Rhinolophus ferrumequinum: one gene and its partners. The protein of the gene in region 4 interacts with the protein of the main gene of each other region in a pairwise test. Links are inferred from orthologs where the notes say so. Each region holds a gene or a part of one and is shown on either strand. Other genes may lie near its edges. The genes, in order: ETS1, MX1, FTH1 and DAXX.

What was found.
Region 1: the proteins of DAXX (region 4) and ETS1 interact in binary tests that used the Homo sapiens proteins (3 or more experiments, as listed by UniProt). The link is inferred for Rhinolophus ferrumequinum from reciprocal best matches to the Homo sapiens genes DAXX and ETS1.
Region 2: the proteins of DAXX (region 4) and MX1 interact in a two-hybrid assay, tested with the Homo sapiens proteins (2 studies listed by BioGRID). The link is inferred for Rhinolophus ferrumequinum from reciprocal best matches to the Homo sapiens genes DAXX and MX1.
Region 3: the proteins of DAXX (region 4) and FTH1 interact in binary tests that used the Homo sapiens proteins (3 or more experiments, as listed by UniProt). The link is inferred for Rhinolophus ferrumequinum from reciprocal best matches to the Homo sapiens genes DAXX and FTH1.

Annotation. Positions count from the first base shown.
Region 1 is NC_046308.1:28,898,027-28,905,473, reverse strand, and holds the start of ETS1 (protein C-ets-1), read left to right. Parts: upstream 1-4,429; 5' UTR 4,430-4,542; intron 4,543-7,447. UniProt on the Homo sapiens protein: Transcription factor. Directly controls the expression of cytokine and chemokine genes in a wide variety of different cellular contexts. May control the differentiation, survival and proliferation of lymphoid cells.
Region 2 is NC_046285.1:105,591,676-105,598,904, forward strand, and holds the start of MX1 (interferon-induced GTP-binding protein Mx1), read left to right. Parts: upstream 1-4,220; 5' UTR 4,221-4,361; intron 4,362-7,229.
Region 3 is NC_046294.1:9,007,268-9,014,184, forward strand, and holds FTH1 (ferritin heavy chain), read left to right. Parts: upstream 1-3,894; 5' UTR 3,895-4,098; coding exon 4,099-4,212; intron 4,213-5,562; coding exon 5,563-5,709; intron 5,710-6,023; coding exon 6,024-6,149; intron 6,150-6,245; coding exon 6,246-6,407; 3' UTR 6,408-6,567; downstream 6,568-6,917. UniProt on the Homo sapiens protein: Stores iron in a soluble, non-toxic, readily available form. Important for iron homeostasis. Has ferroxidase activity. Iron is taken up in the ferrous form and deposited as ferric hydroxides after oxidation. Also plays a role in delivery of iron to cells.
Region 4 is NC_046286.1:3,663,021-3,669,903, reverse strand, and holds the start of DAXX (death domain-associated protein 6), read left to right. Parts: upstream 1-3,878; 5' UTR 3,879-4,007; coding exon 4,008-4,055; exon of another isoform or gene 4,056-4,064; intron 4,065-4,681; coding exon 4,682-4,686; intron 4,687-4,902; exon of another isoform or gene 4,903-4,954; coding exon of another isoform or gene 4,955-4,971; coding exon 4,972-5,158; intron 5,159-5,312; coding exon 5,313-6,144; intron 6,145-6,255; coding exon 6,256-6,470; intron 6,471-6,625; coding exon 6,626-6,854; intron 6,855-6,883. Other genes in the region: SMIM40 (small integral membrane protein 40), read left to right, coding at 675-917. UniProt on the Homo sapiens protein: Transcription corepressor known to repress transcriptional potential of several sumoylated transcription factors. Down-regulates basal and activated transcription.

The DNA of each region.
Region 1 (7,447 bases), on a different chromosome or scaffold from region 4:
CTTCCCAAGGGGAGTACTTTGAAGGTGACTGTAGTGATATTCAGCAATGAGGTATGTAGCACTAGTTCTAGGATGAGTTCGTTAACTTAATTGTCCCACCATGTACATGCCTCCTAGGTCACTGGGTTTCAATTTTTTCCTCAAGAATCTTATAATATGTAGTCGTTTCAACTGAGGTCCTTTCCTATAGAATTCAATATTGCAGAGCATGGAAAAGAACTGTTAGTATTGCCTTTTCAGTTTACTGTTTACACAATCATTCAATTATACAGTAATTTCCAGAAACTTGTGACGTTGGGCTGCTACTTTTATCCCCACCTTGAGAGACCAAGGGAGTCTGTGTAGTGGAGGGAGTTTCCTGTGATCCTTCCGATGAGTTCATACCCTCTTTTTTTGGAAGATCCTTTTTCTTTGCCCTGGACCATCCATGTTGATAAGAAAGCATTCCTTCTGTGGACGGTTTACTTGACCCTAATGCTGTACAGTTTTTTCTTCAGGACATTTTTTGTTGTTGTTGTAAAATATACATAACTTAAAATTTACCATTTACACCATTTTTAATTGTACAGTTTAGTGGTATCCACCTCCATAACTTTTTCATCATCCCAAACGGAAGCACTGTTCCCCTTCGACACTAATTCCGCATTCCCCATCATCCCAGATCCTGGAGATCTCTACTCTGTGTTCTCTAAAATTTGACTATTTTAGGTACTCACATAAATGGAATCATACAATATTTGTTCTTTTGTATCTGAATTATTTCATTCAGTATGCTATTCTCAAGGTTCATTCATGTTGTAGCATGTATCAGAATTTCATTTCTTTTTAAAGTTGAATAATATTCCATTGTTTGGAACATAAACATTTTGTTTATCCATTCATCTGTCAATGAACATTTGAGTTGTTTCTGCCTTTTGGCCCCTGCGAAAAATGCTGCTATAAATATTGGCATATAAATATCTGTTCCAGTCTCCGCTTTCAATTTTTTTGATTATATACCTAGAAGTGGAATTGTTCGATCATATCTTAATTCTATGTTTAATATTATGAAGACCTGCCATACTGTTTTCCATAGTGGCTGTATGATTTTACATTTTACCAGTAATGTGGAAGGGTTCCAACTTCTCTACATCCTCACCAACACTTGTTATTTTCTGTTTTTTGTTTAGCATCCATCCTAATAGATGTGAAGTAGTATCTCATTGTATTTTTGATTTGTATTCCCCTAATGATTAGTGTTGTTGACTATCTTTTTATGTGCTTGTTGGCCATTTGTATATCTTTGTAGAAATGTCTACTCATGTTCTTTTCCCATATTTTAAATCAGATTATTCAAGTTTTTGTTGTTGCTCCTGTTGTTGTTGAGTTGTCAGAGTTCTTTCTATATTCTGAATATGAACCTCTTATCAGACATATGATTTGCAAATATTTTCTCCCATTCTTTGGGTTGCCTTTTCACTTTCTTGAGTCCTTTGATGTACAAACGTTTTTAATTTTAATTTTAATTTTTTATTGGGGAATATTGGGGAACAGTGTGTTTCTCCAGGGCCCATCAGCTCCAAGGCAAGTTGTCCTTCAATCTAGTTGTGGAGGGTGCAGCTCAGCTCCAAGTCCAGTTGCTGTTTTCAATCTTAGTTGCACGGGGCGCAGCCCACCATCCCATGTGTGAATTGAACCGGCAACGTCGTTGTTAAGAGCTCAAGCTCTAACCAACTGAGCCATCCGGCTGCCCAAAAGTTTTTAATTTTGATGAAACCCAACTTATCTACTTTTTCTTTTGTTGCCCATGATTTTGGTCATATCCAATAAATCATTGCCAAATCTAATGTCATGAAGTTTCCTCCTATGTTTTCTTTTACGAATTTTATGATTTTTAGCTCTAACATTTTAGGTCGTTGATCAATTTTGAGTTGATTTTTGTATATGGTGTAAAGTTAACTTCTGACTTCATTCTTTTACATGTAGATACCGATCTAATACTATATTTTTGAAGATACTGTTTAAAACAAAATTTGCTGCTTTTTTGGGCATTCTCTAAGCAATTTATGCCAGGGGTGGTTTATTGTGTAGCATTCAGATTTCTAGCTTAGGTTTTTTCATACTATGATAGGTAGTGGTAGAGGACAGAGTTAAGGTCCTAAACGGTTGCTGTGCATATGAACTTTGTGTAGACAACTCCAGATGCCAGAGCTCCTCAATAATCACACTGTATACCCTTATAGGGCAAGAATCCAAGTTTTCTCTCTATTTTGTTCAACTCCCTTGCAAACATAGTGAGTAATACAGTTATAATTAGTTGTGATTGGTTTAATTGACCTGGGCTCTTTAAGAGTATTTTCTTTGGGAAATACCAGTTTTTTTGTTTGTTTTGTTTTATTCTTTTTAAGGAGGGCGGAGCTCACAGTAGTCCATGTGGGGATCTAAACGGCAACCTTGGTGCTACAAGCACCACGTTCTAACCAATTAGGCTAACCGGCTACCCCCAACCTGGGCTCTTTAAATGGAACCAAGTGAGGTATAGGGGGTGGGCCAAATATTCTGTAGCTCTATTCATAGACTTCGCTCCTCCGAGGTTTGACAATTAAGTTCATGAACTTGTTGCACCGATGTTGCTAACCTTTTTTTTTTATATATCAGAGGGATTATTTATTATGAATTTGTACCAACTAGACAAACAGTTGACTAAGTTTACTGTTTGGAAGTGCTGAAAAGGCTGTGTGGAAAAGTCAGATGACCTGAACTTTTTGCCAACAATTCATTGTTTTTGCATAACTACAATGTATCAGCTCACACAGTACTGTCTGTGAGGGAGTTTTTAGCCAGTAAACAAATAACTGTATTGGAACACCCTCCCTACTCACCTGATCTGGCCCCCAATGACTTCTTTCTTTACCCGAAGATAAAGGAAATATTGAAAGGAAGACATTTTGATGACATTCAAGACATCAAGTGTAATACAACAGCTCTGATGGCCATTCCAAAAAAAGAGTTCCAGAATTGCTTTGAAGGGTGGACTAGGTGCTGGCATCAGTGCATAGTTCCCCAAGGGGAGTACTTTGAAGGTGACCGTAGTAATATTCAACAATGAGATATGTAGCATTTTTCTAGGATGAGTTCACAGACTTAATTGTTATACCTCGTAGCAAGCGCACTTTATTGGGATGGTTGATTTATGTTTCTGTCTTCCCACCATAGTGTCAACTTGTTATATTCCTAGTGCCTAGCACAGAGCTTGGCATAGATATTTATTAAACTAAACTGAACCATTAGCACTATCTCTTCCTTTCTTTTAAATTAAGCCATGTTAATCTGCAAAGGCAAAAGATGAGCAGTAAAATCTTGTTTTAATTACAATACCATTTTAACTGCTCTCCCAGCTTTATACAATGAAGGATAATGATGATGTTGCTCTGAATGACATTTATTAGATTTTCATAGACTTTCAACATCAAGCATTATGTCTTCATTAGAAAGGGAAAGGAGCCAACCATGACAAATTGTAAATCCCTTCTATTACTCAAAGAAAAAGGAATCTTTCAGGATAAAAGTGTTAAATTAAGCAGCCACAGTGACAAAAATTTCTGTAAGGAAACAGCCCTATTTATTGAAATGATAGTCCACTGCAACATTCTTACCACAGTTCTGACTATGTGAATAAAAGATGCTATGTTTTCACCTAGCACAGATGCAAGATTTTCACATTGTTTACATTTTCTCTAAATTGGGAATATATGACTATTTCTACCATTTCATTCCTGCACCATGGACTATGAATCAGGGCACTAAAGCTAATCTATTTTAGAGATCATCTAAAAGCAGGTTTACATGATGAGCGTATTTGGGCTATACCGTATTCCATCAACTCTCTTCCATAGAATCATTTTCTTTCCCTTAAAAAATATCACATCTCACATCATGTTAATAGAGATAAACAAGAAGCCTGAGCATGTGACTGGGTGGTAGTAGACATCCTTTCTTCTGACAGCCTTTCCTGACTGGATTCTTCCCCAGTCCCTCCCTCTCCTGACCCTTTGCCTAGGTTAAATGAAGCTCCATTGAGAATCAAGACATGTGAATCATGAATATTCACATATTCAGTAGAGAGTAAATCTAATGCATCTGTAAAGGCTGAAAGCCGGTGTTATCTCATTGAGCTAGTTCCCTTTTGTTCGTCTCCCTCCCAATTACTCCCCAAGGCTGAGTTATATTTAATGGAAGGATAATTTGAAGGATGGAAAATAAGGTGTGATTTGGTGCTATCTCAGCCTGTAACATTATTTGCTTTACCACCTAGACCGAAAAACTTGCTCTAGTGGTTGCCTCTGTGCTGTCAGGGGCTAGCGCAACCCTGCCTTTTTCCCAGCTTTCCCGGGCTTGACCACACCTCCCCAATTTAAGGAGGCAGCTCTATTAGAAACATTATGGTCTTTGCATCCTTTAGCCATCGAGCCTAGGATTCCCGCAGGTAGTTGGAAGGAGACCACAGTCGTTGAGGGAAGCTCACTCAGGACTGTTTCTTCACCCAGTCTCTCCAGCAAAGTAGTAAGTGAAGTGTGAGTTTCTGCCTAAAACTTTGCAGTTCATTTTCCTTTTCCTTTTTTTTTTCTTCTTTAAATTCTGTGTAACGAAATGGCAAATTGATGAGGACTTTCAGGATACAGGCGGGTTTTCTCTTTCTCTTTTCACATTTTTCTGTATTTTCCATTCAATTCTTTAATAATGATTTTCAAAAATACTTCCTAATCTTGTTTGAATAGTGTGAATCAAGAGTGTTTCACTCTTTTCCCTGCTTTATAAAAGCAAAATCATGCACGTTTTTGATACTCACAGATTAGTTGTCAGAAAGTCTGAATTTTTTTCGCCTATTGGAACACTTCCAAAGAGCTAAAGTTAAATGTAATAATTTCTTTTGATTTTTTTTTCTTTTTGTCTTTCACTCCTAGCGAGCCTATTGTTTTACTTCTTTTTTCTTTTTTTCTTAGCAGCTTAATGAGTTGCTTTTATGGAGAAGAAATTGCTACAGGTTTGAATATAACAAGCCAAACTAGCCTTTTTGGTGTTTTTCCCTGACTTGTGACTCACCTTTCTCTAAGGTTCTCCCTGTCCTTCGGACTGCAGCTGAGAAGGGGGTCTCTGAGTCAGGGGGACATTTGTCCCCTCCACGGCAGAGCTGGACTTGAGGGACTCTGCCATTGAAGAGCAAGGGGTGTGTGTGGATGGCCATTCCCCGCATTCCGTGATTTTCTTTGGCAATTCCACTTTGTCTGTGGCTTCTCATCTACTGTTAAAATGTCTCTGCTACCCCCTTTAAAAGTAGCATTTTATGTGGGTGAACTATTGGAAAAGATGCTGGGTTACTGAGATCAAGGCATTTCATTGATAGGTTTTTCTTATTATCTTTTGGGTAAGTTTTTTATTTTTTTTTAATCTCAAGGCCATTTTTCTTCCGACTTCATACCACTACTGTGCAACTGAAAAGATAGATATTTGTTAAGTAACAGAAAATACAGATTCTAAAATGATAACTCTGGCAGCTCCATTTGATTTGTAAAATGACTGACGCTTTGACTCTTTCATCAGTTGTGGTTCTGGATTGCATCACCTCCTTTTTATCTAAAGAGAAAAACCTTTTGCTACATATGCCTGGAGGGCTGCTGGGTGGCCACCAGTGCTACGGAGATTCTTACCTGTTGTTTCCGAATGGAGGGAAGGGAGAGCTAATGAGTTAATGTCTGCAAAGTGCTTTGAAGATGAAAAGACCTTTTCATGTGTTCAGCATTGTAGTTATTAATATTAATATTTGAAGATGCATGCTGCTTCTAATTGTAAATCAACAACTTCCATCCTTGCCAACTCAGTAGTGAAAAAACAAACAGGGGAGGCAGCCACGCAGACTCTTCCGTCCTGGTTCTGCAGCCAAGGATGTAGGAAGTGAGAGTCTGATTACAGAGGGGGCATCTTTGTCCTACAGGCCCCTCGCACAGAGGTGCTAGTTGGTAGAGGTGCCAGGAGGTCCTAGAGTAGAGCCCTGGGGGAGGGTGGGTAAAGGAGGTAATTGTCAATATCTGGTATCTATGACCTTGGAGAATTGGTTGAGGGCACGGACCTGGGCCAATTGCCTGCCTCTGAGTATAATGGCATTCAAAGGTGAGTAAGATAAGAACTGGCACCAGCCCTGGCTTTGGAGTCAGGAAAGTGGATGTGCACTTGGGTCCTATTAGAGGTTGGCTTTGTAACTGAGAACAAGTTATTTAACGTAACCATGCCTTTTTTTCTTCATCTCTAAGTTGTAAATTATGATTTGTGCCCCACCTATGTCATACAGAGGAGAGAACAAAAGTAAATATAATTAACTCTGATGTTTCTCTCCTGACTGTACATGGAGCCTCAGTTAGGCGCAGCCGAATTTCTTACTGATCATTCCAGTTCTGCTGGACCTCATGATTTTATTTACTGGTGAACAGATCTGTTTGCCACAGCAACTCTCCTTTCCTCATTAGCATTCAAAATTCTCACTTCTGCATCAAACAGCAAAGGGAAGGGATTACAACCCAGAAGCTGGGCATCAGACCTCCCTCCCCTCCATCCCTTCCTCTCTCTCTCCCTTTTTCTCTTTCTCTCTCTCCCTTTTATAGAAATTAAAAAGTATTTCGTATTTGAACAAAATAAATGTGGTATGCAGCAATTTAATGCCATTGGAGGCAAATTTTGTGAGTCTTTAATCTTGGAGAAACTTAGATATGAAGATAACTCATTTTTTTGCCTTTTCATTTCCTCTGTCCCTGCTCTACTGAAAATGTAGCTTTAGGGAGCTCATTTTTTAAATCTGGATGATTATCCGCATATAATACCTGGTTTCCTCCACTTCACCTGAGTGAGGCAGGATAATAATCCCTCCTGTTTACTGAGCACTTGGTCCATTGCGGGGCCTGTTGCTAGGTGTTTTGCATGGACCAGTCATTTCATCTACAGTGAAGTCTTTGAGGTGGGCATCTTGTCATCCCCATTTAACAGATGAGGACCAACTTTTGGGGGAGACCTGATTAAAACTGAAGGAATGTGAGTCCAGGGCTTGTGTCTGGGGTGATATCTCACAGGACCTTGAGTAGCTTTGGAACACTTGCACAAGTTTAGGCTGAATTTTTCTGCGTAGACCTAGGATTTGCTTTTATCTGGAAGAGCACAGTGGATCAAGTTTATTTTCCAAAGGGGAATCTGTATTAATTCTTCACTGTTAGGAAGATACTGAAGAAAGGCTACAAGGTCTAGTCTCTTCCTCAGTCTCTCGTGACAAATGTTGATTTAATTTCTATTCTGTGCCCAGCCTTGTGTTGGGGGCTGTGATGGGTACAGAAGCAACAATACATAAACTCCATTTTTTAAATTAACATAATTTATTTTAGGAGGCAAGGTTTTACCTGAAAACAGGATAAAAATAAAAGATACT
Region 2 (7,229 bases), on a different chromosome or scaffold from region 4:
CTACCATTCAGCCAATGAAAGATGGTTACAATATGGATGGACCTAGAGAACATTATGTTAAGTGAAATAAGTCAGACAGAGAAAGACAAATACCATATGATCTCACTTATATGTGGAATCTAAAGAAAAGAATAAATGAATGAACTAATCAGAAACAGTCTCAGAGACATAGAGGAAAAGCTGAGGGTTGCTAGATTGGTGGGGGAGGGATAAGGGGGAAGGTGAGGGGATTAGAAAGTATAGTCGGTAACCACAAGATGGCCACGGGGAAACGAAAGTCAATTTGGGGAACGTAATCAATAATGTTGTAAAGATTTTGTAGGGTATCCGATGGACACTTGTCCCATTAGGGAGACCACCTCAGGGATGGTGTAGATGCCTGATCACTGCACCGTACACCTGAAGCTGAAGCTGAACAATAGTGAATGTCAGGGACCGGCCCAGTGGCTCAGGCGGTTAGAGCTCCATGCTCCTAACTCCGAAGGCGGCCGGTTCGATTCCCACATGGGCCAGTGGGCTCTCAACCACAAAGTTGCCAGTTCAGTTCCCCGAGTCCCGCAAGGGATGGTGAGCTCCGCCCCCTGCAACTAAGATCGAACAGGCACCTTGAGCTGAGCTGCCGCTGAGCTCCCAAATGGCTCAGTTGGTTGGAGCACGTCCTCTCAACCACAAGGCTGTGGGTTCGACTCCCGCAAGGGATGGTGGGCTGTGCCCCCTGCAACTAGCAACGGCAACTGGACCTGGAGCTCAGCTGCGCCCTCCACAACTAAGATTGAAAGGACAACAACTTGACTTGGAAAAAAAAGTCGTGGAAGTACACACTGTTCCCCAATAAAGTCCTGGTCCCCTTCCCCAATAAAATCTTTAAAAAAAAATAATGAATATCAACTACAATTATATATGTATACACACACACACACACACACACACACATAGTTACAAGAAGCAGAGTACAGCATTAGGAATAGAGACAGTGGAGATGTAATGGCTGTGTGCGATGTCAGAGGGGTAGTGGAGGGGGGGGTTGTCACTGTGTGAGGGACATAAATGATAAATGTCTATCACATTGTTTTGTGCACCTGAAACTAAGAAAAAAAAAAGATGGTTACAACTCAGCCAATGAAAAGCCACTAAACTTCAGACAAACTCCCAGTTTCCTCCAATGGACTTTTTGTTTACAACAGCCCCTCTGAACTCTCCTCTTTCCTCTACAAAGAAGTTCCTCTCTTTTATTCTCTGACTTTTATTTGATTCGCCATTAGGCTGCATGACCTGAACTGCACTTCTTTATTGTTCCAAATAAACCCATTTTACTGGAGAAATATCTGGCTATTTTTTAAAGGTCAACAGGACCCAGTTTCCATTTCTCACTAGCTTTGTGGGGGGAAAGCGTCTACCTCTCCACGTCTCCATTTTCTCCACATCTCCATTTCCTATTTGATTAGTTTTTGCTCTATTGGAAGATCATGTGTTTAGAGAAATTAGCCCAGTGCCTGACGGAGTCACTATTCTATGAACACTTCACAACCAAGGGACAGCATTTTTTTTTTTTTTTTTTTAAGATTTCATTGCGGAAGGGGAACAGGACTTTATTGGGGAACAGCGTGTACTTCCAGGACTTTTACCAAGTCAAGTTGTTGTCCTTTCAATCTTAGTTATGGAGGGCACAGCTCAGCTCAAGGTCCAGTTGCCATTGTTAGTTGCAGGGGGCAGAGCCCACCATCCCTTGCGGGAGTCAAACTGGCAACCTGTGGTTGAGAGCCCATGCTCCAACCGACTGAGCCATCCAGCAGCTCAGCGGCAGCTCAGGTGCCATGTTCAATCTTAGTTGCAGGGGGCGCAGCCCACCATGCCTTTTGGGAGTTGAGCAATCGAACCGGCAACCTTGTGGTTGAGAGCCCACTGGCCCATGTGGGAATCGAACCGGCAGCCTTTGGCGTTAGGAGCATGGAGCTCCAACCACCTGAGCCACCAGGCCAGCCCAAGAGACAGCATTTTTAATACAGAGATATTGCATTGGGGTCTCTCCACTACCTGTACTGTGAAATGTGGAGCCCAGTTGTGGCAGAGGAGGAATGAAGCAGCCTGAGTTGGAATTTGAAGAACTGATGGAAAGAACAAGCTGAGTCAATACCCATTAGCCTTCTGGGGAGAGGTCCTGGGAAGGCAGGAGACACCTGCCTTCACCATATGAAAAATAAATTTTCATCGGGTGAATGCCATAGGGACAGTTGGCCCTATCCTGGAAAAAACGATTTCGCAATGGCCACCGACCTTTCCCCAGTGACTGTGCACTGGGCCATGTGTACACCAAGCCAGGACCCAGGGTCCCCAGCTCAGCTCTACCAGGCTTTCAGTATCTGTCTCCTCGGGACAGGGCTCGCTGGGGGACCTGGGGCAGATAAGAAGGCAAAGCCTGGCCCTTTAAGACCAGATAAATAACAACCTTGGTGGTGCCTGCCTTCTGGTGCTTTAATTGCAAATGAAACACGTGGAGAATCCCCTTAACATGCAGATTGATTCAGTGATTTTGGGGTGGCCCCAATCCCTGAAGCCAATGCTTCTGGTCGGGGCACCACCCTTTGAGAAGGACTGGTTTATGCCACAAACATAGAGGAGAAAACGAATTGGGGCCAATGACACCTGGGGCAGGACCAGTGCTCCGGGCCAGACAGAGAGGACGCTGGGCGGGGGCGCTCTTTCCGGCCCTTTGGCCCCTCCTCACAGGCGTGGGAGTATTATCCCAGTGGTTCAGGGCTGCCGAGCAGTCCCGCGCCCCCCTCCTGCCCCCACTTCCTCGAGGCACGTGACACAGGCAGAACCGTGGCCAGGTTCAGCCACGTCTGAGAGGCCTGGGGCCAGAGAACCTCCTCTGGGCTCCGCCCTCCTCCTCCTCCTCGGGGCTCCGCCCCCTTCTCCCCAGCTCCTGGATTTAGGATTCTATTGTTGCTTCATCTAACTTACTTTTCTGTGAACCCAGGAGGAGAAAAGAAACTGAAACCGAATCTGAGTTGACTAGAAACGGAGACAGGGAAGGAGAGGCGGGGAGACTACGGAGGAAACTGAGAGGCGTAGGGAATCTGTCCGGAGGTCACTTGAGGACCACGTCTGCAAGACCAGAGCCGGTCCTACCCATCATTCATTCATACATTCACTCATTCCTGTCTTCCAGAAACATGTATTGAAACACTGTGCCAGCAACTATGCTGGATTCCGAGTGCAACAGCAAGCTTCATGGACCTGGTCCCTCCCCATGTTCACGGCCACAGAGGCCAAGACAATGTGACGAGGCCCCACTCCACAGGGGCGTGGGGGAGAACACGGGGATCCCAGGGAGCAAGTCCCCTAGGCCTGGAGAAGGGGGCGGGGGCGAGGAGGAGCGCCTTGGGCTGCAGCAAAGAGGGGCAACATCCCAGCAGTGGTCCTGGGGCAAGGTGAGGCAGGGCACAGGCAGGCCTGGCACACCACGCTGCGTAGGAATGCCCACCCCGGCAGCGGGGCAACTCGCAGCATTTTTATGGAATGCAGTGTGCTTCCCGTTTTGAGAAAATGCCCAGTTGGGGCCGTAGGGAGCTGGAAGCATTGCTTTTCATTAATGCCAGCTCAGCTCTCCTTGACACACCTGGGCCAGCCCTAGCAGGTGACGAGAGGGCTGTACGAGGACCCTAGTCACCCGTTGGTGCGCAGGCAGCAGGGGCTGGGGCCACATCCCCCACAATCCAGGACATCCATCCGAGATGAACTGCATCTTAGTCTTAGCGAAGCCAGTGGGGGGCGGGATGAAGCACGACCCAGGCTTGGAAGGAGCTCCCAGGGGCCGCTGCGGATAGGGCACATCGCAGTTGGGACTTGGCAGGGAAGGAGGCTGTCTCCGGGAGCCTGTGGGAGAAGGGCTGGCCCGCAGAAGTGTGATGGTGGCGATGAGTGGGGCGCTGAGCCTGGTGGACAGTCCTCGAGGGCGAAGAGTACACAAGTCGTTTGGGAGAACACAGAGTAATCGATGTTTCTTTAGCAGAGAAGGAATCGCCAGCAATTCAGGTGGAAGGTTGTGTGCTTCCATCTTGTCGTGCGGCTGGAGAGTCTGCGAGGCTCCAGAGCTCCCAGGGCTGAGGATGCTTTGGTGCCGGGCGCGCACTCGGAGCGCCTTGCTGAGGCTGCAGCTCCGCGCGGGGGGGGGGGGGTAGGAGGGGTGGGGGGGCGGGGCGACGGATTCGGTTTCGTTTCTGTTCCCTCCGGCCCCTCGGGGTAGGAGAGTTTCGTTTCCCCGCGGCCTGGCCTGACTGGAGCGGAGGGCGGAGCACACACACCACTTAAAGCCGGAGAGTGGTGAGGGTGCCGCACTCGCGGCAGTGAGGAGACGGGTGAGTATCGCGCTCCCGGGTCCGTGCACCCTCCGGCCGGCTGCGGGAGGCTCGAAGGAGGGCGTTTGCAGAGGGAGGCTGGTTGCAGAGGGAGCGCTCGGCGGTGTGGGCATTGCGGGGCTAGTAATAGTAATGATGCTGAATGAGAATGAGAACAACACTGATGCTGGCTGGGCCGAGAGCGCGCTTGATTCTACTTCAGAGCAACGGCTGCTGAGGCTCCTGGGTGACCGATCCCAAACAGCCCCCGAACCGGTGGCTTTTCTGCTTGAGGAGGTGGGAAGGTACTGGGGATGGGAGCCAATGGGGTCTCTGAAAGAGCGGGTTAAGGGCGACGCACTGAAAAAGTTTCACATCCACCGCTGCATGGTCTCCGAGCCCACCCCAAAAGCCGACCACTTTTTATTGTTGACTTATCCAGCTAACGCGTTCAAAGCGGACAGGTCAGCCCCGGGGATTCCTTGGAAGCTGATGGACAAAGGGCCTTCACGGACCCTGCAGAGTATGAGCGGCTGGAGCTGAGCGTCCTTGCGAGGAAGCTCTGGGTACGGGCGCAGCCCCGTGGGAAGGACCTCCTGCTGGGAGAGACCAGGCATGCGCCGAAGTGCCCTGCGCCGCATAGCCCCACCCACCGGGGAGGTGCCCCTTAAGTTTGTGCAGCAGGGTGCCACTGAGTGGGGCAGACTCACACTCCGGGTCCATTGTCATTTGCGGGGATAAACCGAGGCAGGATGTGCTAGGGGCTGACGGAAGTAACCCAGCAGCCACCGAGAGCGGTGCATGTGGGCTTCTCGGAGTTAGGTCAAATTTTAAATCAAGTTTTTGTTGGAAGTACGGTCAAGTGATACTAACCGTCAGCTGTCAGTCCCAAAGGCTGGGTGTCACCTTTCTGTTTTGGAGCACACCTGCTCTCCCCACCTCCACCACCTCCGAGGTGACCCCCCCCCCCCATTCTTTCCTCTTCCCTTCTCCCCACATCCCGACACTCAGCTCAGTGTGTCTACGGAGAGAGCATTAGGGTAAAGTGGAGATGTTCTCCCGTTTAATAATAAAATATTTAAATGTCTGGGCTTTTAGAAAGCAGAACACTTTCAAGAGAAAATGCAAATGTAAGTCCTGCGAGATTATTTTAAGATCTAGTCTGATTTATGAGTGTGAGTGCTGGAAAAAATACTTTTCCTCCCACCTGTGTGCTTCTCTCTGGGTTAATAATCAAATTAACAGAGACAGATTAACAGGAGAAAATCAAGTTTTAGTACATATGAAAGGGGAATTCACAGAAGCAGGAAAATTCCAGGCAGCGAGGCAACACTGGGTATACATGACATTATGGACAAAGGAGAAAAGGGGGGATGGGGTATTAGATTTCAGAAGTGAGAATGGGTGATTTACAGGTAGTTAAGGAAGATGGAACAGCCTGGCAGGCAAATTCTTGCTGGGCAACCAACCCCGAGACAATGGGACTCTGGCGGGATGGTCCACACAATGGGACTCTGGCGGGATGGTCCACAGGCTCCCGCGTGGAGTCTCCCTGTGTAGTGACCAGCCATTATGCTAAGTTTCCTCCCTGAAGCAGGTTTTTCTGTCTGATTCTCTTGAGCAGGAAGGGGTGGGGGAGCAAAGGTTCTTTCTGGGTCTTTTGTTTCTTAGTAACCAGCTTGAAAATCAATATCCCACAATGTAAAACTTTCGGTCCCCTTCTTGGGCAAGGTGCAGACTCTGGATCTGGCAGTCTGTAGGATATGCTAGGTATGTGGTCCTTCGCAGAGGTGGGGGCGCTAAATCACCCTCCCATCCCCGCTGCCGCATGCTCTCTAAGCTCAGGAAGCTTCCCCACAAGCACGGAAATCCACCCCCTCAGCCCACAGCAGGGATTCTCCAGTGCCACTGCTGTTAGTTAGATGGGCCTCTAGTCTGGAGGCCACTGGCAAGCTACCAGTCCGGAAATCTGAAGTGGAGGGGGCAGCCAGCCCGTCACCCCCACGGACAGTGAGACCTGAGTGGACACAGAGCTGCCCTGGGCAGGAATGGAAAGAGGCTGCTGCACCTGGGCAGGGTCTCTCCTCCCTAAACCAAGCTTCGGAGTGAGAGGAGAGCCTGGTCCAGTAGCCCACCAGTGCCCACTGGGGGTGTGCAGAGGTGCGGAAGGTGACAGCTGGAAAGGAGAGATGGTGTGCAGGCCTCAAAACTCCCTTCGGTCTTGTCTGCAAACGCAGGGTCCAGAGTAGACGTTTGATGAGCAGTATGGGCTGAGAGCTAAGGGTCACCACGATGGCCAAAGTTGGCAAATGCATTCAGGCGAGTGTGGCAGCTGTAGCGGAATGCGGGGTGTGATGAAGAAGTCAGAAAGTGGTTTTCCTTACTGAGATTGTCCTGCTCCTGAAATCCAAACCGATCCTCAAAGATGATCCATGAAAGGTACAAACATTTAAGATGGACAGACAAAACCCACACGTTTTTGCTTTCAGGGACTGTCATTTTACCAATCAGAAAGTGAGATACCATATGATCTCTATTATGTGGGGAATCTAAAACAAAATAAATGAATAAACAAAACAAAGCGGAAACAGACCCTTAGATATAGAGAGTACGCTGATGGTTGCCAGAGGAGGGGCATGAGGGATGGGAATTAAAATTTTTTTTTAATAATTTGTTTTTTTTTTTTATTTTAAAACATTTGAAAGAAATAAAGACGCATCCTGTGTGCGGGGAACTGCCTTAGTATTGCTAGTCAGTCAGAACTTTCTTTTAAAATAAAAACAGGATGTGCTTGAAAAGCTGTAAGTTTTCTATGGGAAACCCTTGCTGAGTCAGTTTTTAAACACTGGACACAATTCTCATAGAGCAGGTTCAGGTTTACTAGGACGG
Region 3 (6,917 bases), on a different chromosome or scaffold from region 4:
GGAAGCCAGCCAAACTCTCCACCTCCTCAAAGTCACGAGGAGCTGGGGCTGAAGGGGAGGGAGGCCAAATTCTGGTCAACAAAGGTCCAAAGACCAGGCTCCAGCTTTGGAAGAATCTAGAAGCTTGGAGATGGCAGTTCTGACACCCTGGCAAACAGACACACACATACACACCCAGCACAAGACTTCCCTTTCATTCTTCCCAGCTGGCCTCCCCAGTGAACTTCTACAGCCCAGACTGTCCCTCAGTTTTGCCATGACGTTCTCGACAACTGTGTATGTGTTTAACCAAGCACAGAGCCAATACTGGTTCATGAAATCTCTTTCTGCAACAGACCAACTTCATTCTGGTGGGTCCAACTTTAGGCTGGCTCTGGCTACCTGCATGTCCTGGAGGCCCTGAAACTCGGCACCTCCAGTCCAAAACCTAGCTTGCCTTCCCCAATGGCCTCTCCCCGAAACTGCATTTCCTCCTGTGCTCTCTCTCTCAGTGAATGGCAGCTGCAGCCCAGGTGGGAGGCTCCCTTGCCCACCTCCCACCCCTCACCACCACCCACCCCCAATATCCAATCAGCTACCTCATTCTGTCTGTTCTGTCTTCTCCATATCTCTCAGATCTGCTTTCTGTCTTCTTTGCTCACTGAGAACTAGGGCTGTTGCCTCCCAACTGGTACCCAACCCTCTGGCCTGACTTTAATCCATCTTCCACATTCAATCGTGCATCCATCTGTTCATTCAGCAAATACTGAGCACCAAGTAACAAGCACCTTGCACAATGCTGGGAGCCCAGGATGCCCGCCCTCGAGCTTACAGTATACAGTAGCAGGGAAGACAATTATAAGGTGTGATTTATATGTATATAATTATACATATGAATATATATAGTATGTTTATTCATCGTCACTACTTATAGGAGCTACAAATATCAATTCAATTTGTCATTTGAATTTTAACTTTGTTTATGGCATCTTTTGTCTTAGAGCTTTTTTTTAAGGAGGGCGCAGCTCAGTGGCCCATGCAGGGATCGAACCAGCAACATTGGTGTTACCAGCACCACGCTCTAAACAGAACTTTTCATTTTTAAGTAGTCAGATCGCCAACTGTCCTTTTATGGCTTTCGACAGCCTCAGAACACTCCTTATCCCAAAATTCTAAAAGATAATCTTCTATATATTCTTCTAGTAACTTCATAGATTTTTTTAAAGCTTGAATCTCTAATCCAGCTGGAACATGTTTTGAAATAGTGAGTCATCTTCTTCCACATGACTGTCAATTGTTTCAACATAATTTGTTGAACCCATTCTTTCTTTTTTCTTTTTTTTTTTTTTTAAAGATTTTATTGGGGAAGGGGAACAGGACTTTATTGGGGAACAGTGTGTACTTCCAGGACTTTTTTCCAAGGCAAGTTGTTGTCCTTTCAATCTTAGTTGTGGAGGGTGCCGTTCAGCTTCAAGTTGTTGTCCTTTCAGTCTTAGTTGTGAAGGGCGCAGCTCAGCTCTAGGTCCAGTTGCCGTTTTCTAGTTGCAGGGGGCACAGCCCACCATCCCCTGTGGGAGTCGAACCGGCAACCTTGTGGTTGAGAGCCCACTGGCCCATGTGGGAATCGAACCGGCAGCCTTCGGAGTTAGGAGCATGGAGCTCTAACCGCCTGAGCCACCGGGCCAGCCCTGAACCCATTCTTTCTCCCCTAATTTAAATTACCACTTTAGCATCTACCAAGTTCCTATACATACGTGGGTAGGGTTGTTTTGTTGCACTGATATAGTCAGCTCTTCCTTTGCCAATACCAACTGCTCATAGTACCTTATACTTTTACATATGTGTGTGTGTGTGTGTGTGTGTATATATACACACACACACACACATATCACGGAGGGCAAATCTACCCCCATAATCTTTTCCCCCACATACTTATCACCTATTCTACACACTCACTCTTCCAAATGAAGTTTAGAATCATTTTGTCAAGTTCCCAAAAAAACCAGTTTCATAGAAATTGCATTGAATCTATAGGTTTATTTTGGGAGAACTGACATCTTTACAAAACTGAGGTTGGTTATTTAGAAACATGGTGTCTCTTCATTGATGGAAGTTTTCTGTCCAGCAGTAAATATTTATAGTTTTCTTCACACATTTCTTATTACCTTTATTCCTAAATACTGTAAGCATTTGTTGCCAATGTAAACGAAAAAAATTGTCTTTCATTCCATTTTTAAACTGATGGTTATTATTATACAGGAAAGCTTTGTGACTGATGACTTGCTATACTCTTATCCTAATAGTTTTTCTGTTGATTCGGTGTAAGTTTTCTGAAAAACAAAACTAATGTGGTAGAAATCCCTTAGTGTTTCCACATCATCCAGGATAAAATTTAACCCCTTTTTACGGCACACATTCCTTCCTGACCTGGCCCCTAGACTACCCTTCCAGCATTCTCCAACATGACTACTTTCCAGGCCTATACTCTTTCTTAAAGTACCTTGGACAGGCCATACATTTCCACACTTTTACACGTTTGCATATGCTGTTCTCTCTGCCTGGAGAGTTCTCTCTCCCTCATCTCCCTCCTCCACTTCACCTTCCTTTTAACTTTTTCTTCACACAGCGCAAGTGCTACTTTCTTAGGAAAACCTTCCCTGATCTCCTATCCCAGGCGGAGTAAGGCACCCTTTGTCTCCTCTCCCAGCTTGCTTCTGCTTACTTTATTGAAGCTCTGGCCCCACTAAATTTTTTTTCCCTGAAAGTACCGTTTATTTTGAAATGAATAAAGACCCAAGAGAAAGAGCCATAATTCCATCAGCAACTTGGTTTAACATTTTAGTAGTTTCTTTTAGGTTTGGAAGTCCAGCTTCCAGTTGCAGGTTAGCATCCTGAAAGGGGTCTTGGATAAGTCTCCCCCGTGTCAAAGGACCTGGCTAAGAATAGTGAACTTCGAAGCCAGCAGACTGGGGGACAGGAGCTCGAGCCTGGCTCTAGTTCTTCCACCCACTGCGTGCCTGGGTCATAGCTGCAAGCCACATGCAGTGGACCTGCCCCTCCAGGGTCCCCGGTGCAAACCGCACCTGATAAAAGAGGTCATTTCAAAATGGCCACACAGCATCGTCTCCAGATGCGCGCCCAAGTCTCTTCTCCTTTTTCTAACTTTCCATCTGAGTTTCAAAGTGCCACCAGTGATTTTCTCAGGCCCAGGGGGCTCATCTCAAGGACTCCCACAGGGAAAGCGGTTTCATGTCTGTCGGGAAACACGGCCCGCCCAGCCTTTGTTGTATAAACTGCACCAGGAGCCATATTTGCTTTCAGTAAAGGGCGGGCGGGCGGGGGCTGATCCGAGGTGGCGTGGGCCCCCCCATTCCGCCTCCATTTTGCAGCTTCGGAGACTTTGAGGAAGAGAAAGTGTGTCCTTTCCCAGTCCAACCAGACTCAGTCGGCTTCCTAGGGCCCACGTTTCCATATCCAGTTTCCCAACTGGCATTACGAGGTGATCACCTCGGGGTGTGCTAACTGCTGCTCTGCCGCTCACATTAACAAGCCCTTGGCCTTGGCCCAGAGCCTCGGGGTGTCGTTGGGGACGAGAGTCGTCCTGATGCCCCGGGGCAGTTTCCCGTCGGTTCCAAGACCCAGGAGGCCACGCGGGCCCGGGCTCCGAGCTGGGCTTCCCGTCCCTCCCCACTGTGTCCCTTCAAACCCACCAAGCGCGCCACCGAGCGCACAGCCACCCTCCCCCGCCGCACGCTTTGCCGCACCCGCCGCGGCCTCCGGGCCTCCCCTCCCCCACCGGCCCAGCGGGGCGGGGCCTCACGCCCACCGGAAAAGACGGGGCCTGGTGCGACGGGCGATCCGCGCGATTGGTCAGCGCGAGCCTGACGCCCGCTCCCGCTATAAAAGGCCGGAGGCAGCGGCCTGCGCCACAGTCTTCGCCTGGAGTTGCCGTGGTTTCCTGCTTCAACAGTGCTTGGACGGAACCCGGCGCTCATTCCCCCGTCCCGCCGGCTGCTCAGGGCTAGCCTTCCGCCACCTCCTCACAGCGCCTGCCGACCGCCCTGAGGTTCCCGCCACCGCAACAGCGCCGCCGCCGCCGCCTCTCCTTAGCCGCCCACCATGACGTCCGCGACCTCCTCGCAGGTGCGCCAGAACTACCACCAGGACTCCGAGGCCGCCATCAACCGCCAGATCAACCTGGAGCTCTACGCCTCCTATGTCTACCTGTCCATGGTGAGCGGGCACGGCGTAGCCCGGCTGCAGGGCGAGGGCCGAGGCGCGGGGGCGGCCGCCCGGGCGCGGAGCGGGGGTGTGGCTACCGGGCGGCCCTCCCGCCCCGGGCGCCCTTCGGGAAAATGGAGGCTGCTCCGGGTCTCCCGGGACTGGTCTTGCGCAGAAGTTCTGGGCAGTTAGCTCTTGCCGACTGCTCCCTGGGAGGACTTCGTCATAGGCAAAGGCCTCCTCTGCGCACCCCTTTATGTGTAAGGAGAGCCTGGGTTCTTGAAATCCCGGGATTGCAGCACCTAAAACCTAGACAGCCCTGCAGTTAGGAAGGTAGATTTGTTTTGCATTTCCATCCCATCCTCTGCGTCTACGTGTCCCTGAGACCCTCTGTTTTCTTTGGTAAAGGACGAAGAGGTCCAGCTACCATCCCCCTGGGTATGGCGGAGCCTCCTGCGTAATGGTGTCGAATGGCAGCCTTGGGGCTGGTGCTAAGTGACTTATCTCCGGTGGGCCGACCACTCCCGAGCAGCTGTCTCCACCCCTCTGCTCTGCTTATCTCTAAGTCCCACTTGAATTGAAGCCTATCTCTAGAATCTCCCTGTCTGTGGATAGGAAGTTGTCTATGTCACCCGGCCTAGTGCCTGGGTGCTTAATTCTTTGTCTTTTTTGTATCTGTAATAAGAGTTGTAGCCCTCTAATAATTGAACCCTGAATTTTGGGATGAAACCCCCTGACAGCTACTGGGCAAGGAATTATTCTCTGTCGTGATCAGTGGAATCCGTTTTTCAAAATCCTGGTGTTAGTCGATGTGGTGGGAGTTTTAGTTAGAATTGTCTTAGGATCATGAAAATTATCCAAGAATAGACATGTTCTTGAAAACAGGCCTGAATTTCTATGACTGCCATTCCATTTGAGGAACACCTAAATGCAGCAAGTGTCCAAGACCGAATCAAATTTTTGCTTTCTACTGGTAATGATATTTACCTCCATTAGCATTGCACACAGTTGTCACCTTGCCTAGTAAGTTAATTTTAGAAATCCTTCAGTCTGCCAGAAGCTGGCAAGCTCCTGTTGTAAAAGGGGTTGATCAGGGAGGAGGGGCTAATAATGCAGGGTAAATACTCCCACAGCCTCTCCAGGGAAATTGGACACTGGCCGTAAGAATTTTGCAGTAATACAGGCGATTCAGACATTCCATACTGGTATTCCTATGGTATTGTAAAGGTTCCTTGTCGTAAACTTGGAATTTCAAGGGCCAGGTTTCATTTTTGGATTTGAAAAGTAGAAACTAATTTTGTTGTGTTCAATCTAGAAACACAACCTGACTCCTAACGTAACATGTTCACATTCCACGTACAGTCTTACTACTTTGACCGCGATGATGTCGCTTTGAAGAACTTTGCCAAATATTTTCTTCACCAATCTCATGAGGAGAGGGAACATGCTGAGAAACTGATGAAGCTGCAGAACCAGCGAGGCGGCCGAATCTTCCTTCAGGATGTCAAGGTGAACAAAAGGTCCTACAGCTGTCACACTTGCATAGTCGAGCAGTTCTCAGGTGTCAGAAATCAGTCAGAGACTAGCAGTTGCCCTTTTAAAATAAGGATACTTTGGGCCTTTACCTTTCGTGCTCTTTCAGGCCTACCATCTTAGCTAAAGTAGGCACCCAGTAATGAGCAAGGATGGTAAATTGGAAACTGTCGTCAAGGGAAACTCAGATGTCCCTTTTGCCAAAGCTCGCTGGTTACATTAGGTACCTGCTGAATTGCGGTTTATTGGTAGAGACTATAGATGCATTGACCTAACTTCCTTTCATTCAGAAACCAGACCGTGACGACTGGGAGAATGGACTGAATGCAATGGAATGTGCGTTACACTTGGAAAAAAGTGTGAATCAGTCACTGCTGGATTTGCACAAACTGGCCACTGACAAAAACGATGCCCATGTGAGTGTTGGCAACGTGGGAATAAATGGAGGAAGTCGCTTCCCTCGGGGGCTGGGAACGCTGGCCAATAACTTTCTTCCCTATTCTGTTTTCTAGTTGTGTGACTTCATTGAGACTCATTACCTGAACGAGCAGGTGAAATCCATCAAAGAATTGGGTGACTACATTACCAACTTACGCAAGATGGGGGCCCCTGAATCTGGCATGGCAGAGTATCTCTTTGACAAGCACACCCTGGGAGACAGTAATGAGAGCTAAGCCTTTGGCCGGCTTCCAGTAGCCACGGGGGTGACTTCCTGGTCACCAGAGCAGTACGTGCATGTTAGGGTTACCTTTATCTTTCTATAAGTTGTACCAAATCATCTATTTACGTTCTTTCGTTTGTACCATTTCTTCAAATAAAGTAATTTGGTACCCAGCTGTTGTCTTTGAGTTTTGGGGATGGGCTAGAAGTATATCTAGGCCCACAGTTCAGTCACACCGATCAAAAAGAAGTACGCCTACGAGGATTTGTACTTAGGAAAATCCTTAGTTGTATGAAACTCCTAAGTTTGGGAAAGATACCAAGGCTCGTTCGTGTGTGTGCTGATTTCAGACAGAACTAAAGGACTCCTGATTCTGAATTAGCTGTTTGGAATAACATGTTTCCTTCCAGTGATTCATTCTAGCTTTTGTAATTTTTATGTACAAAAGGGTTAAGTAGTCTTGCAAGTACTGATTTTTTGTTATCCATTGGGCTAACCATTTAATTCGGGCTGTCAGGAAAAC
Region 4 (6,883 bases):
CTTGGAGGACATTTCTCAGCAACTCTCAGACCAGGACCTCCCACAGAAAAATCTCACTCTTCATTATTATTGCCCCAACAGTTAAATCTCAATCATAAACCCTTGCCCCACTGACCAATCATGGTGTTTCTCTCTCTCTCTCTCTCTCTCTTTTTTTTAATAAACCTCCCCTTCCTTGGGTTCTTGCAGCTGCTTGTCCCCCACCAGCCTTGGTTAAGAGAGTCCCGCCCCCACCCCAATTACCCACTGTAAAGCTGGAATGGCCTTTAGATCTTTGACTGACAGCAGCTCACAGTAGCATACTAGGTCCACTTGTTCATGCTCTATCTGTGGTGGCCCAAGCCCTTGAGCCTTGAGCCTAGAGACCCAGAATGACTTGGGCAGCTCCAGCTTCATGTCTGTATGTTGGGCCTTCAGTTTCCAAAACAAAATTATAATGCTGGACAGACTTTAGGAATTATTTTGTCCAGTCCATTCACATTGCATTGGATAATTACATGATTGTTCCAAAAGCTCAGAAGCTCTACTCTCCTTTCTCTCTCGGGTGGGGGAATTAGGGTCAAACCAGGCAGGTGAAGGACTTGCCCCACCACGCCCCTTAATCCTGGCATTGCTGAGCAAGGGCTTCCAGCCTAGCCTCCCTGATCCAGCCAGCTGTCAGACTGTAGGTTACAATGGCAGAGGAGGAGGGTGACATGGATGAGGACGATGTGTTCCTGGCTTTTGCCCAGGGTCCTCCTCCTTCCAGGGGTCCCCTACGTCGGGCCTTAGACAAGGCCTTCTTTATCTTCCTGGCCTTCTTTCTGACACTACTACTGCTGGAGGCTCTTTATAAGCTGCTGTGGCCACTACCATGGGCAAAGTTTGGGCACTGGCTCTTGAGGTCACCTCAGAAAGAGGAGGAACTCGAATTGTGACCACCTTTCCTATAAACATCCTCTTACTCTGCCACAGAGGTGAGAGGGGAGGTGGGGGAAATGGGACTGTTGGGGGCTGTGGAGGGGACACCTAGAGAGGTTAGAGCAGCTGTCTTAAAATTTCGTCACCTATACTCTAGGAAATAATTTTGAACAGGTTTATACTCCTCAGGTTTATATTTCTCAGTAAGCATCTAAAAATTTTCATCATAATTAAAAATTGTTTCAAGGATGTAATTCCTGGCATATTGAAAATATTTACATTTTAAAATAAAACATTTAATCACTCTTTTGAATGTCCAGAAGAACTGAAATATCAGAGTGATTTGATACCTACTATCATCCATTTAAAAATACATAAATAAGCTCTTAACAATTGGGAATCATTCCTTTTCTCTTTTCTCCTTGAACTCCCATTACCATTCCCCTTCCCCAGAGACAATTTTATGCTTTTATACTTAAAAGTCTGAGATGAAAAATATTTTTCTTTCTTATGATCAAAACTCGTTTTTCCCCCTCTTCCTCCACTTTCCCAGCCCCATTCCAGTTCAAGCCGCTGTTTCTCAGTGTAGTTGTGTAGGACAGAGCTCCCTGGCCCATGCTGCTATTATGAACCTTGCGCTCCCCCGGCTGAGGCAGTGGATCGCCAGTCCTCAGTTGGCTGCTCACAGCAGCTCATGGCAGACCTCGCCGGCTGGCTGCCAGCCACTCCTGGCAACACTGCTGGCCAGCGCCTGGCAGCACACGGTAGCCCACCGCTGCTCATGGCAGCTTACGTCAACCTCTGGGTGCTCACAGCTGCCCAGCTCCAGGGAGAGCTGTTTTTCACAATCTTAGCTGTAGAGGGCGCAGCTCATTGGCCCATGTGGGAATCCACCGGCCACCTGAACTGTTGACCTGAGCACTAGAAGGACCAGTGCTCCAACCACCCGAGCCACCGGGCTGGGCCTGCCCAAAACTCTAGTTTTTAAAAAAATTTCTTCAGGGTTATCATTACAATTATTATGAGAGCAGAACCGATCAAATGGCATGAAGATTGTACACATTTTTATAATTGTTAAAAAATTTTTAAATGTTTTTAATGAGATAGACGAGGTGGTGTTTATGGTGCCTTAATGAAAGAAGTTGGCTACATAGCTCTTTATTTGACACTAGGTAAGACTGTCTCCAGATTTCAGGGTTGAAAACTATACTTTTTTTTTTTTTTTAAGAGGGAGAAAGTCTACTGTAAAAGGGTAAAGGAAGAAAAAGAACCTCTAGGGCCGGCCTGGTGGGTCAGGCGGTTGGAGCTCTGTGTTCCTAAAGCCCAGGCTGCCAGTTCAATTCCCACATGGGCCAGTGGACTCTCAACCACAAAGTTGCCAGTTGGACTCCTGCAAGGGATGATGGGCTGCGCCCCCTGCAACTAACAATAGCAACTGGACCTGGAGCTGAACTGCGCCCTCCACAACTAAGACTGAAAGGACAACAACTTGACTTGGAAAAAATCCTGAAAGTACACACTGTTCCCCAATAAAGTCCTGTTCCCCAATAAAATCTTAAAATGAAAAAGAAAAGAAAAGAAAGAAAAAGAAAAAGAACCTCTATTGTAGGTATTTATTCAGGAGAAATTTTGGGAAAGCTGAGGATCTGGAAATTAAATCTCTAACATCTCCCAAGTCCAAGTGCTCTTTGGGGAGTTTTCATTTTCCCCAGTTTGAAGACTGTAGGTTTAGACGACTGGAAAGAAGAGATGTGAGATTAATGGAAGGGAGCGTTTGAGGTTCTGGGACTCTGAGGCTTGGACGTGTAGGGACCGCGGAGATCCTAGAAAGTGATAAGATGCTCACCACTTGTGGAATGCTCAAGGATGTAGAGGGGAGCAACTCAGCCATTGGAACAGTCTTAGCCTCTCCGGTTTCCCCCAGAAGCTCACCTTTGGACCCAGCCTTGCCTCCATGAGTCCCTCCAGCCTCCCTAAAAGTGGGCGAGGTGGGATGCGGGTGAGGCGGGCGTCAAAGTCTGTGTCTTCTCTGTTCGTTCTTTCCTCAGCTCTCCCAGAGAAAGAAGAGGAGACGAGACCCGCGGTATTTTCCGAGCCTCATTTCATCTTACAGCCCTTACAGTGGCAATTCGCAGAGATTCTTCTTAACTCCCTTCCGCCTCCCCATATCGCCACTCCTTAGGCCCCGAAGCTCCCGGACAAAGCACGTCTTCTGGGTCATGACTACCTGAGCCTCAGGGACCCCCTTCAGAAAAGTACGGAGAATCACGTAGGTGCCACCTGCTTGGTTGGTAATTAGTCTGTGGTGAAGCTTGAAAAGCAAAACAACAATCGTAATAATAACAATAACACATTGTGTGGGGCGTTGTAATTATTTGTGTGCAAGTGTTTTGATGTCACGAACACCTGGATTCAAAACACTTGGAGACGCCAGGATGTAAGAAGCTGCTGGACAGCGGCAAGGGAGTGCGCAGCCCAAAGACGGGAAGGGGCAAGCGCCGTGGAGTAAGCCGTGGAGACGGGTACCTGGCAGGTAGGAAAGCAACGCGGGAAGGCTGGTCAATAGCCCATCGAAAGGAAAAGGTTTTATTTCCCTCGTGAGAGGTTTCCGCCCTTTCGTGCACCAGTGCGTAGCCTTGGAGGGCCCAATTCCTCAGCGGCCGTTTTCCGTTCCCCCCTTCCCTACTTGGAAAGGTGGCTCAGTCCTCCCGGCACGCGCCTAGCCGGCGGTTGGGCGGGAGGCAGGAAGTTTCTGATTCGCGGAGTCGCAGAAGCGCTGGGTGGAAAGACATCCACTGGCGGAGCTCTGGAGTCGGGGCTGAGTCAACGCCGTACGGCAAAATGACGGCCCCCAGGTACTTAGGGAAGCGCCGCGGGGATAAGCTCGCCTCCTACAGGTCGGGCGGAAGGGAGCCGCATACAATGTAGGAAGCTCCAGAAACGTTCGGGGATCGGACCTATTGTCACTTCCGGCCACAGGGGGAGGTGGGGGGGGGACTGGGTTCCGTACGAGAATATGGCGCTTAGGTTACTGGAGGCGGAAACTCTGCGGCTTCCGGTCCAGCATCGGGCCTGCGGTGGGAGGGGGAAGGAAGGCGGAGGTAACCATGCGAGCTTCTGATATCTGCGGTGAGAGTCGTTTGGAGAGGCCGTTTGTTTCTGAGGTGGGGCCCGGACTGTGCGGGGGTCGAAGGTGGGGGTGGGGATGTCGAGGGAGAGGTGTTGGGGAGTCCCGGGCGCTGAGTCTGAGGGGCAAGCTTTCTTTCCTATCCCTGAAGGGGAGTGGGGCGGGTGGGGCCTGAACTGGGGGAGGGGGACTTGGCGGGAAGCTCATCTAGGGGAAGAGGCCGGACTTAGGCTTGGGATCCGAGAGGAATCGGGCGAGCCCAGTGCGGGGCTCACGAGCGGTTACAGGTCACCGAGAGTATGAGGAAAATTAGGGTGGGGTGAGAGGGAAGGGTCTTGAGGTGAAATACCTCCAACCTGACTCCCCGGTTTGAGACCCTTCGGCGGGTGGAATCTGAGATACATTACAAGGGGTGAATGTATGGTTGAGAGGGAACCTTCTTCGCCTCAGAGTCTAGAAGTTGGGGAGATCCTTCAGGATGGGGTGAGGGTGTGGGTTTGACGTGTTTGAGAGCCAATGGTGGCGCTGACGGGTGTAGCACCTGTGCGAGGTGAAATCTGGAGTGCAGTGTGGGAGGTGGTGGCCCGGAGGCTGGGAGGAAAAGGCAGTTTGCCAACTAAGACAAATAGTGGAGAATGGAAACTGAAAGACCAGATGTCGTGGATATGGGGAGTGGAGCTGGGGTGGGGACTTGAGGTCGCAGGTGGTTTGGGGCCCCAGAAAACATGGTGCTAATGGTTGCTGAAGACAGGCAGTGAGGACACTGTTGGGCAGGGCTGGGTGTTACTGAAACCCAAGAACACTGAAAAATGTGTGAGCTGAAGGGATGGGGCTATGCTGGAGGGGCTCTTTCTAAGGCCCCCGTCCCCTTCCAGCAGGAAATACGAAATCCCCAACACTTCCTCCCTCCGGGGGATTTGATCCCCCATGGCTACCGCTAACAGCATCATTGTGCTGGATGATGATGACGAAGATGAAGCTGCTCAGCCAGGGCCCTCTCACCCACCCCCCAATCCGGCCTCACCCCAGGCAGAAGCCCCTGGCTCCTCCCAGCCCCATGGGGCTGGAGGAAGCAGTAGTTCGGGCGGCAAGAAATGCTACAAGTTGGAGAATGAGAAGCTGTTTGAAGAGGTGAGCTTTAGGGGAGAAGATTCTTGTACCCCAGGGAGGGGGTGGCTCACTGGCTCTCCTGTCCTTTTTTCCCCCACTAATCCCGCCATGCCTTCTTTCTCTCAACCCCCTCCCTTGTCTCTTTCCCCCTCCCTTCTTCCCCTGAACCCTCCAGTTCCTTGAACTGTGTAAGGCGCAGACAGCAGACCACCCTGACGTGGTCCCGTTCCTTTGTAAACGGCAGCAGCGTGCCCACTCTCTGTTTTTGGCCTCAGCGGAGTTTTACAACATCCTCTCTCGGGTCCTGTCTCGGGCCCAGAGCAGGCCAGCTAAGCTCTATGTCCACATTAACGAGCTCTGCACTGTTCTCAAGGCTCACTCAGCCAAGAAAAAGCTGAACCTGGCCCCTGCTGCCACCACCTCTGGCGAGCCCTCTGGGAGTAACCCTCCCACAGACACCTCCACGGATGCCACAAATGCCGAGGCCACTGGCTCTGAGGCCCCAAGGACCCGTGGTTCCCGGCGGCAGATCCAGCGTTTGGAGCAACTGCTAGCAATCTATGTGGCAGAGATTCAGAGGCTGCAGGAAAAAGAGCTGGATCTCAAAGAATTGGATGACCCAGACTCCACATACTTGCAGGAGGCAAGGTTGAAACGGAAGCTAATCCGACTCTTTGGGCGGCTGTGTGAACTGAAAGACTGCTCTTCACTGACAGGCCGGGTCATAGAGCAGCGCATTCCCTACCGTGGGACTCGCTACCCAGAGGTTAACAGGCGCATCGAACGGCTCATCAACAAGCCGGGGCCTGATGCCTTCCCTGACTATGGAGATGTGTTGCGGGCTGTAGAGAAGGCAGCTGCCCGCCACAGCCTTGGCCTCCCCCGACAGCAGCTCCAGCTCATGGCTCAGGATGCTTTCCGAGACGTGGGCGTCAGGTTACAGGAGCGACGCCACCTTGATCTCATCTACAACTTTGGCTGTCACCTCACAGATGACTATACACCAGGTAGGGATTAGTGATGCCCATCAATAACCCTTGTGTATATCAGGTGTGTGGTAGAGGGGGCATCTCTCTAGTCCCTTCTTCTAGGGTTTGACTTCATATCTTTCCACATAGGCGTTGACCCCGCACTGTCAGATCCTGCCCTAGCCCGGCGCCTGCGGGAAAACCGGAGCTTAGCTATGAGCCGGCTGGATGAAGTCATCTCCAAATATGCGATGATGCAAGACAAGAGTGAGGAGGGCGAGAGACAGAAGAGAAGAGCCCGGCTCCCCCAAGCCACCTCTTCCCATTCTGTGGACCCCCCCAAAGGCTCCTTGGATTCTGGTGAGGTATGGAAGGGATCTACCCTTCAGAGACACCTTGTCCTTCCCCTGCACTGGCCAGCAGGGACTCCACGGTGACCCATGGGGGAGTGTGCGGAAGGAACACAGAACCAGACCCTCTGGGGCAAGGGATTCATTAGAGAAAGTCCTTTGTCCCCCAGGGCCCTAGTGGAATGGCATCCCAGGAGTGCCCTACCACCTTCAAGGTTGAGACCGAGGACGAAGATGAGGAAAGTGATGAAGAAGAGGAGGAGGAGGAAGAGGAGGAGGAGGAGGAGGAGGAGGAGGAGGAGGAGGAAGAGGTCACAGATTCTGAAGAGGAGGAGGACTTGGAACAGACGCAGGAAGGTCAGGGGGATGAAGAGGAGGAGGAGGAAGAGGAGGAAGCAGGTATGACAAGGAAAATCTCACTGCTAGTT